2 linked regions of the Cricetulus griseus genome follow. The protein of the gene in region 2 purifies or fractionates together with the protein of the main gene of each other region. This does not show direct contact. Links are inferred from orthologs where the notes say so. Each region holds a gene or a part of one and is shown on either strand. Other genes may lie near its edges.

Region 1 (3,811 bases), on a different chromosome or scaffold from region 2:
ATGGGTGTGGTGACACACACCTGTACACCACGTTGGGAAGCTGAAGCAGAGCCAGCCTGAACTATATGATGAGACCTTGTCTCAAAGCAATAGCAACAAAATGGACACACAGGGACAGACATTCATGCCTTAGTCCCAGAACTCAGGCGGTGGAATCAGGAGGGTCACAAACTGAAGTCTAGCCTGGGCTACAGAGTGAGTCTGTTTCAATCAAGAGATACATGCTAAACTTTAAGTGCCTAGAAATCCTGTGTAAGTCCTCCCTGACAGACAGATGCTGAGTGAGGCATTTAATTTACTCTCTTCCTACGAATATTTCTCCACTTTTGTCTTAAGCCCAAATAATCTCTATTCAGCACTAAGACAGCACAAAGAAAACAAAGTCCAACTTCCTGGCAACAACTCACAATGCATCATAAGGCAGTAAAGATTTGGCGCAACCAGCACCCCAGGGCCCGGGCACTCACAGATGTAGTCCTTCACGGCTCTCTCGAAGAGTTCATACACGTGTTCTCGGTCCAGGCCGTCCATGGCCATGCTGATCTCATCATGCAGCCACTCCAGCCAGAGCTCTAGAGATGACAGCACACCTCAGCACACGCCTTCACATGCTCCCAAGGTTCCCAGAGATCCAGTTCTTAAAAGAGTGATAACCTGTATCTGACGACTCAGAGCCAGTTGGTATGTGACACACCTGTCCCAAGAAATGGATCCTACTCTGTCATGTATCAGGCAAGAACTACTGCTACCTTTAGTTGACTGTGGGAAACTGAGTCTCCACTGTTGCCATGATCTGCTTAGTCTGCTAGTGAGAAGCCTCATTAGACATGTGCAATGTGGTCTCTCTCAGCAGCTCCACCTGAGCTGGGCTTTGTGAAAGGAAGATGGAACAGAGACACACCCAAGGCCAGGGTTTCTGAGCTGAAAGGCCAGTTACAAATACGAAGCAAGACCCAGCCACAGTCGGTGGTGGTAGCACATGCCTTTAATCCCAGCACTCGGGAGGCAGAGGCAGGTGGATCTCTGTGAGTTCCGAGACTAGCCTGGTCTACAAGAGTGAGTTCCAGCCTCCAAAGCCACAGAGAAACCCTGTCTCAAAAAAAACAAAAAAAAAAGACCCAGTCACAGAGCCAATTCCTACAAGTATATTTCTCAGAAGCAAATGCGTGGAAGTAAACAAAATGTACAATTACTGTACCAAAATGAAACAACTGCATTTAAAACTATTTCAGTTTAGAGTCTGTAAAGATGGCTCAGTGGTTAAGAGCACTGGATGCTCTTCCACAGGACCCAGGTTTGATTCCCAGCACCCACACAGTGGCTCACAACTGTCTAGAACTCCAGTTCCAGGGCATCTGGCTCCCTCTTCTGGCCACCTGGTGCACATACACATATATGCAGGCAAAAACACCCATACACATAAAGATTTTTAAAAAGAGATTTTAAAACTATAAATGTTTACCTAAATTTACAATTCCATAGCACTATGAGCATAGGCTAAGTACACATCTGTGGAATGGGACAGTGACCACAGTGAAGTTAAATTACGTTAAAGAAACTGTTTCTCATAATGTTCCACATGTGAATCTGCAGCACAGAACACTGTCTAAGGCAATGAAATGAGAAGCAGCTGGCTTCCTTTATCTCCTTCACCTCAGCTCTCTGAACCAAAAGCAGCCCCTCACCCCCACCCCCGGGGCAGCGTTACCTTCAGTCAAGGGGAAGAGCTCGCTCATCTTCTGTCGGGCCATCCTCACTTTGTTGAGCTCCCCTTCCAGCCGCAGCAGCCTGATCAGCTCCACATGGCAGTTGTAGTCATAGCCGTTGATGGACAGCTAAGAAGAAAGTTAGCATTTGTCACCTCTGGTAACAACAGACACATCTGTCCCAAACAGACCTGATGTTAGCCTGGGAGGCCACTGAGTGAGCTAAGCGGCACCAGCCCCGTCACACAGAAGTGAGAGGTGTTCTTATCCTAACAGGAAGCTCCCTCCCCTTGGGCCCTCTCTACTGAGACAGTACCACCCTTAGGAAGTCACCAGTGTCCTCCACAGCCTCAGCTTCCATCTGGGGCACTGCTAGTCTCCAGCCCACAGAACGCATAGGCACTTCGACATTGCAGGTGTGCCATATGAATTCTTTCATGACACTGAACAAGTAAGGACAGCAAGAGGCTGGTGTGGGAGCCATAAATAAATAGCACGACTGTAGCAACCAACTCTGGCGCACATCCCACACCTACAAAACAACTGCACAACAAGGTAACTTGCACAACATTCCAGCCACTGACACCTGGGCTCAGTCTTCTTTTGTCTTTTTTGTTTTTTGAGATAGGGTTTCTCTGTGTAGCTTTGGAGGCTGTCTTGGAACTCACTATGTAGATCAGGCTGGCCTCAAACTCAAAGATCCACCTGCCTCTGCTTCCCAAGTGCTGGGATTAAAGGTTTGTGCCACCAACGCCAGGCCTGGGCTGAGTCTTAACTGACACTACCATGTTCATAGTTTTCTCATTGGTTTTTTTTTGTTGTTGTTGTTGTTTATTTATTTATTTATTTATTTATTATTTTGGTTTTTCGAGACAGGGTTTCTCTGTGGCTTTGGAGACTGTCCTGGAACTAGCTCTTGTAGACCAGGTTGGTCTCGAACTCACAGAGATCCACCTGCCTGTGCCTCCCGAGTGCTAGGATTAAAAGCGTGCGCCACCACCGCCCAGCTCATTGTTTTTATTTTTAATATTTTCTTTAATTATGTCTATATGGGGATAAGTGACATCAGTTGTCCTAAGAGGCCACCCCCAGTTGAAGTTACAGGTGTTGTGAGCCACCACATTTGTGTGCTGGGAACCAAGAGAGCTCTGGTCCTCTGCTAACTGCTCTTCACCACTGAGCCATCTCTCCAGAATCATGTGTTCCTACTCTGGAACACAGACCTTGCTTGGTGCAGTCCTGGCCTTCTGCCTGCCTTCTGTCTAGGTATATAGGTTTACATTTGAAACTTCTCAAGCTAAAAGCTGTAAATATTTTTAACTCTTACACATCCACACAAAGGACGAGTTTAAGAATAGCATTAGGGCCGGGCGGTGGTGGCGCATGCCTTTAATCCCAGCACTCGGGAGGTCGAGGCAGGTGTGTGAGTTCAAGGCCAGCCTGGTCTCCAGAGCGAGTGCCAGGATAGGCTCCAAAGCTACACAGAGAAACCCTGTCTCAAAAAACAACAACAACAACAACAAAAAGAATAGCATTAGGAGATCCACCCTGAAAGAACAGGAACAGAGGCACTGGTAAGCACACAGAGAGGCGTCTCCTCAGGGTTCTAAGTCATGTAAGGAAGAAACAGACCATTAAGACCATCTGACCCAAGACAGTAGCTGCAAGGGGGAATGGGAAGGAGAGACGGCTACACTCAAGCAGCACAGCCTGGAGCCAGGACAGTTCAGTGAAGACACTCCACACAGAGTCAGGCATGGTGCAACCCCAGCACTGAAAGGGCAGACGTAGGAAGACTGAGTTCGTGGTCAGCCTTGGCTGCTTTGAAAAATCTTGTTTCAAGGAGAGCATAATTGCTCATATGTGGTGGCATGTGTCTTTAATTCCAGCATTCAGGCAGAGGTAGGCAAATCTCTGAGTTTGAGGACAGCCTGGTCTATACAGCAAGTTCTAGGTCAGCAGTGTCTACATAAAAGATCCTATCTCAAAAAAAAAAAAAAAAAAAAAAAAAAAAAAAAAAAAAGGAAAGGAAAAAAGACAAAACACTTTTCTGAGGACAATCGGACAGCAAACAAGACTGAGTGAGATCAACACCTTCAGCAAGC
Region 2 (4,405 bases):
AGGCTGGCTGGTGTTTTGGTAAAGGCCAGTTATAAGCTGCTGAGAAGTTTCTTAGAATAACCACATATCTATAAGTTTGTTGGCCCAACCATTTGTTGCCCTTGAAGACAGTAGCAAGTATCCTGCAGATGAACCAGGCTCTTCCCACTTTCTGCTCACCAGCCAAGCTCAATGGCTGCATCCCAGCTTTGTGGCACAGTAAAAGCAGCTCTGAATCTATCTCTACTACTTATTTCAGTCTACATATGTAATGTATATTTGATAATTAAAGCAATCAGTGAGGAACACAGTACAATTCTTTTGAGATAAGGTTTCAAATAGCCCAGCTGATCTCAAACTCATTTTGTAGCCTCAAATGAGCTTGGATTTCTGATCCTCCTGAAGCCACACTTGGGTGTGCACTGCTGTGCCCACCACTGTGGTGCCAGAGATGTTAATGCACACCAGGCATGCCATCAACTGAGCCAAATCCTCAGCTTCCAGTTTGATTTACAAAGCAGCCTGTTTTAGGGACAGGGCATAGCACTTTTCTTCTCTGCAGACAGTTATTTGATTTAAATGTGACTTTACTTGTGTTCTTAATTTTATATTTTACATTTCAAGAGCCTAAAATGCTGTCTTATCAATGTCTGTAGTTGACGGTCTTCGAGTCAGCTGAGGTTTTACAGAGGATAGAAAGATATGGCTGTTCCTTACCAAATCTCAGCCAGTTCTCTGTCTGTGGCACCAGTCACTGGTCTGTTTCTTTCGCCATTCACTAAGAGGCTCTTAGGAAAGGAGGAACCACTTTCTGTCTCAGGAAAAAGTTCTGCATTGTAGGACCTGTAAGATCTAACAGGGTGTGTAGCTGTTGTTTGAAGGTCTTATAACTGTGTTGATGATTAAACATCAGAAACAATTAAAATATAAATCTTAAATACAATATAAAAGAGAAATTAAAATATAAATGTAAAATATAAATGAGAGCATGGGTGTAGAAAAAAAGGAATCAAGTCTTCCTGTAATCTCTTCCTTCCATAAACAGTCAGCATACACTAAGAATTCATGCATTATCCCCAACCAAGTTCCCCCACAGCACTTAAATGGTATCTGCATGCTGTTTCCAATTAAACTAATTTGTAATGTCTTTTTACAATTGGCGCCATTGTAATAGAGTTGCTTTAAATTATTTATATTTTTGTAGCAAAATTGCTATGGAAACAATCTCTAACAGTAACTTAAACTTCATACATTTAATTAATATTCAGAAGTCGGTTGGGAGCTTGAGGCTTTTAACTTTTATTTGCTTTAAATTATTTAAGGCTATTTGGGGTACTTAATAGCCTATTATTTTAATCGTAAGTTTCTGTTTCCTGTCATTTTTAAGGTATTCTTTACTGTATTGGAATCTCAAAAGATTACTTCTAAATTTTTTTTCTTGGTTGTTTTGCTTTTGATTCGATTTTCTGGCAAAAAAAAAAAAAAAAAGACGGCAACATCAGAACACCGGCATTTACTTCAGCCCCTGGATGCTGAATTCACCACTGAAGAAACCAATTCTTGGAAGTGAGCGTTATGGAACGGCCTGATCCTTTTGGTCCCCGCGGGCTGCCGTAGGCAAGGAGGCCGCTGATTGGGTGAGGCAGCGAAGCGCGCTGCCGGGGGCGGTTTCGGTTTTCGCCGCGCGCGTCCGCGGAGGCCCGGCCTGTGAGGGCTCCGGATCCGGCTGCGAGGTGAGCCCGCGCGCGGCCCGGGAGGGAGGGGCGGTGGGGCGGGTGGGTGCTTGGAGCGGAGCGGTCGGCCTAGGCCGCGGAGGGCCGGGGCGGGCGGGGTTGCGGCTGGAGCCCAGGCCGGCCTGCGAGCAGCGGAAGGCCGTCAGGGCCACGCGGCCTCGCGCTCCCGCGCCGTGCGGTCCTGCCGTGCGCGCGCCGGGCGCCGGCTGTGTCAGCCCGGGTTAGGCGGCCGCCGCTCCCGCGCCCCCCTCCTCCGTGCGCGCTCGAGTCCCTCCACACGAGGACACGAGGAGCCGGGGAAAGGATCCCTGCTGGGCGCTTCCGTCTGCCCACTCCTCTCCTCCTGTGTGTGCCTGCTTCTCTTTCCGCTAGTACTACCAGAAATACTCGGTCTTCTGTCTACGTTAAACACATGCAGCCAGGTGTAACTTTAACATTCATTGCTTTTGTTTTGTCATTGCCTGGGTCCCATAAGTGACTCCGGTGTTTCCCCGATGGCTTCATCTTAGCGTCCATGCGATCCTGGGATGCACTTCCCGCCCTTGACTCTATTTCTCACCATCTCCTTGGACAAGTTCTCAGAGGAGAAGTCATTGGGTTAGATAGTTCTTGCACGTTGCCGGGTTGGTTCTCTTTAAAGTGTTAGTAAATTACCTCGTTCGTGTGTGACACCGGTTCTTTCACCAAATCCGTGAACACGCCTCCTGTGTTTCTAACAGTAGCAGAGTACAGCCTCTCTTTGGAATCGTTACTGATCTCGTTTAAACTTGCACGGAGTTTCTCAGTCTGGCCTTGAACTTTGGATCTTCCAGCAGTTGTGGTTCCGGGGTTACTTCAGGCATTGTTATTTTTTATTGTAATGCCTGTCGTTCTGCCATCAAGGTTTTCCTGCCGAATCTTCGTAGGAGGGGCAGGGAGAGAGAGAGAGCTGGTATTAACTGTGTGTGTTGGTATTACTGCACAACTTAACCACGTGCTTACTGGTATTCTCTCTCTCTCTCTCTCTCTCCCTCCCTCCCTCCCTCCTCCCTCCCTTCCTGTCTCTCCCCTCCTCCTCCCCCGTGTGTGTGTGTGTGTGTGTGTTGTGTGTGTGTGTGTGTGTTGTGTGTGTGTGTGTGTGTGTGTGTGTGTGTGTGTGTGTGTGTGTGCGGTGTGTGTTGGTATTAACTGTGTGTGTGTTGGTATTACTGCACAAGTTAACCAGATGCTGGAACAGAAAGACATAGTCAGTAACCATCTAGCATAACTCCCTTATTTTTCAGATGAGCCTGGGGCCATGAGAGGTGAGATGGGTAGCAGAGGAGATTAGAATACAGGTTACCTGCCTCCCAAGTGAGTACCCTTAACTACTGCATCAGGTCTTCTCTCACTGAAGGGTGGCCTAATAGAATTTTTTTTATTTGATTTTTTTTTTAATTCCCTGGCTTGCTTTCTCCTTTTATAATGAAGGACTGGAAAATAGAAAAGTCACTTTTTTTGTGTGTCCAGAACTAGAAATTTATTAGAATGCCAACCCATTCAAGATTTTAATGGTTGTTTTCAGGTTCTCAGTGTTGGGATAAAATACTCCTGATAAGTAAGACAGTTGTCCCTCAGTATCTGAGAGGGACTGGGTACAGAGCTCCCAATATTAAAAAGTGCATGGATATTCAAAGTTCCATATGTGTGTTTGCATATAACCTATGCAGTCTTCCTATGTTGTTCACATCATCTCTAGATCACTCACAATGTGTAATAGGATGTAAATGGTTGCAATGGAATATTGCTTAGGGAGTAATGACAAGGGAAAAGCCCTTTAGCTCTGTAACAGGTAAAACCATTGGAGCTGTAATTGCAACTTCATGTTACTAGATGTTGGCTGGATACACAGATAAGGAGAGGTGACTAGTTTATGTACTCATCATCTGGTTCTCATTTACATCTTGATTATTCTAAAGTACCTTGCTTGTTGTTTAAACCAGAAAATAAGGTTTGAAGAGGAGGGGAGGAGGTGGTAGTGGCAGTCATTCTGTGAGTTGACACGTTGCATCATATAGTCCTTTGTTGTAAAGGACTAGACTCTACACCAGTGGTTCGCAGCCTGTGGGCCGAGTCCATGAAAGACCCTTTCATGGAGATCACATAGCAGATATTTACATATGATTCATAACAGTAGCAAAATTACATTTATGAAGTAGCAATGAAAATAATTTTATGGTTGGGGTCACCACACATGAGGAATTATATTAAAGGGTTGCAGCATTAGGAGGGTTGAGAACCACTGCTCTACACTGTAGACTGTTGAGGGATGTCCTTGGCTTCTCTTCACTAGAGTCTGATTCCCGCTTTGACAATACATAATGTCTGTAGACATTTCCAAATGTTCCTAGAGGGTGGGGCACAAAAATCACCTTTGGTTGAGAACAACTTGCTCTTAGGAATTACCGTAGGCAACTTGATGTCAAAGTGCTTATGGTCAAGCCTGGCAACCCGAACTCAATTGCTGAACCCCACTTAGTGTAAAGAGAGAACAGACTCCCAAAAGTTATCCTGTGGCATATGCTTATTGCCCCTGCCCCACTAAATAAAACAAATGAATAAAAGCAATAAAAACAAAAAGCAAAGGACAGCCTTTTGGCTGAGTTAGCTACAGCAATCTGTGTCTGAACAGGCATCTTTGTAGATGTGGGTGTCTTGCCTTCTAAGCAAGTGCC

The links.
Region 1: the proteins of Lsm6 (region 2) and squamous cell carcinoma antigen recognized by T-cells 3 purify together in Homo sapiens (affinity purification with mass spectrometry; 4 studies listed by BioGRID and IntAct, counting the BioPlex papers as one, with this or other methods). This does not show direct contact. The link is inferred for Cricetulus griseus from reciprocal best matches to the Homo sapiens genes LSM6 and SART3.

What each region holds. Positions count from the first base shown.
Region 1 is NC_048597.1:93,410,866-93,414,676, forward strand, and holds part of squamous cell carcinoma antigen recognized by T-cells 3, read right to left. Parts: intron 1,836-3,811; coding exon 1,709-1,835; intron 573-1,708; coding exon 468-572; intron 1-467. UniProt on the Homo sapiens protein: U6 snRNP-binding protein that functions as a recycling factor of the splicing machinery. Promotes the initial reassembly of U4 and U6 snRNPs following their ejection from the spliceosome during its maturation.
Region 2 is NC_048596.1:154,693,781-154,698,185, reverse strand, and holds the start of Lsm6 (U6 snRNA-associated Sm-like protein LSm6), read left to right. Parts: upstream 1-1,574; 5' UTR 1,575-1,712; intron 1,713-2,115; exon of another isoform or gene 2,116-2,134; intron 2,135-2,974; exon of another isoform or gene 2,975-3,044; intron 3,045-4,405. UniProt on the Homo sapiens protein: Plays a role in pre-mRNA splicing as component of the U4/U6-U5 tri-snRNP complex that is involved in spliceosome assembly, and as component of the precatalytic spliceosome (spliceosome B complex).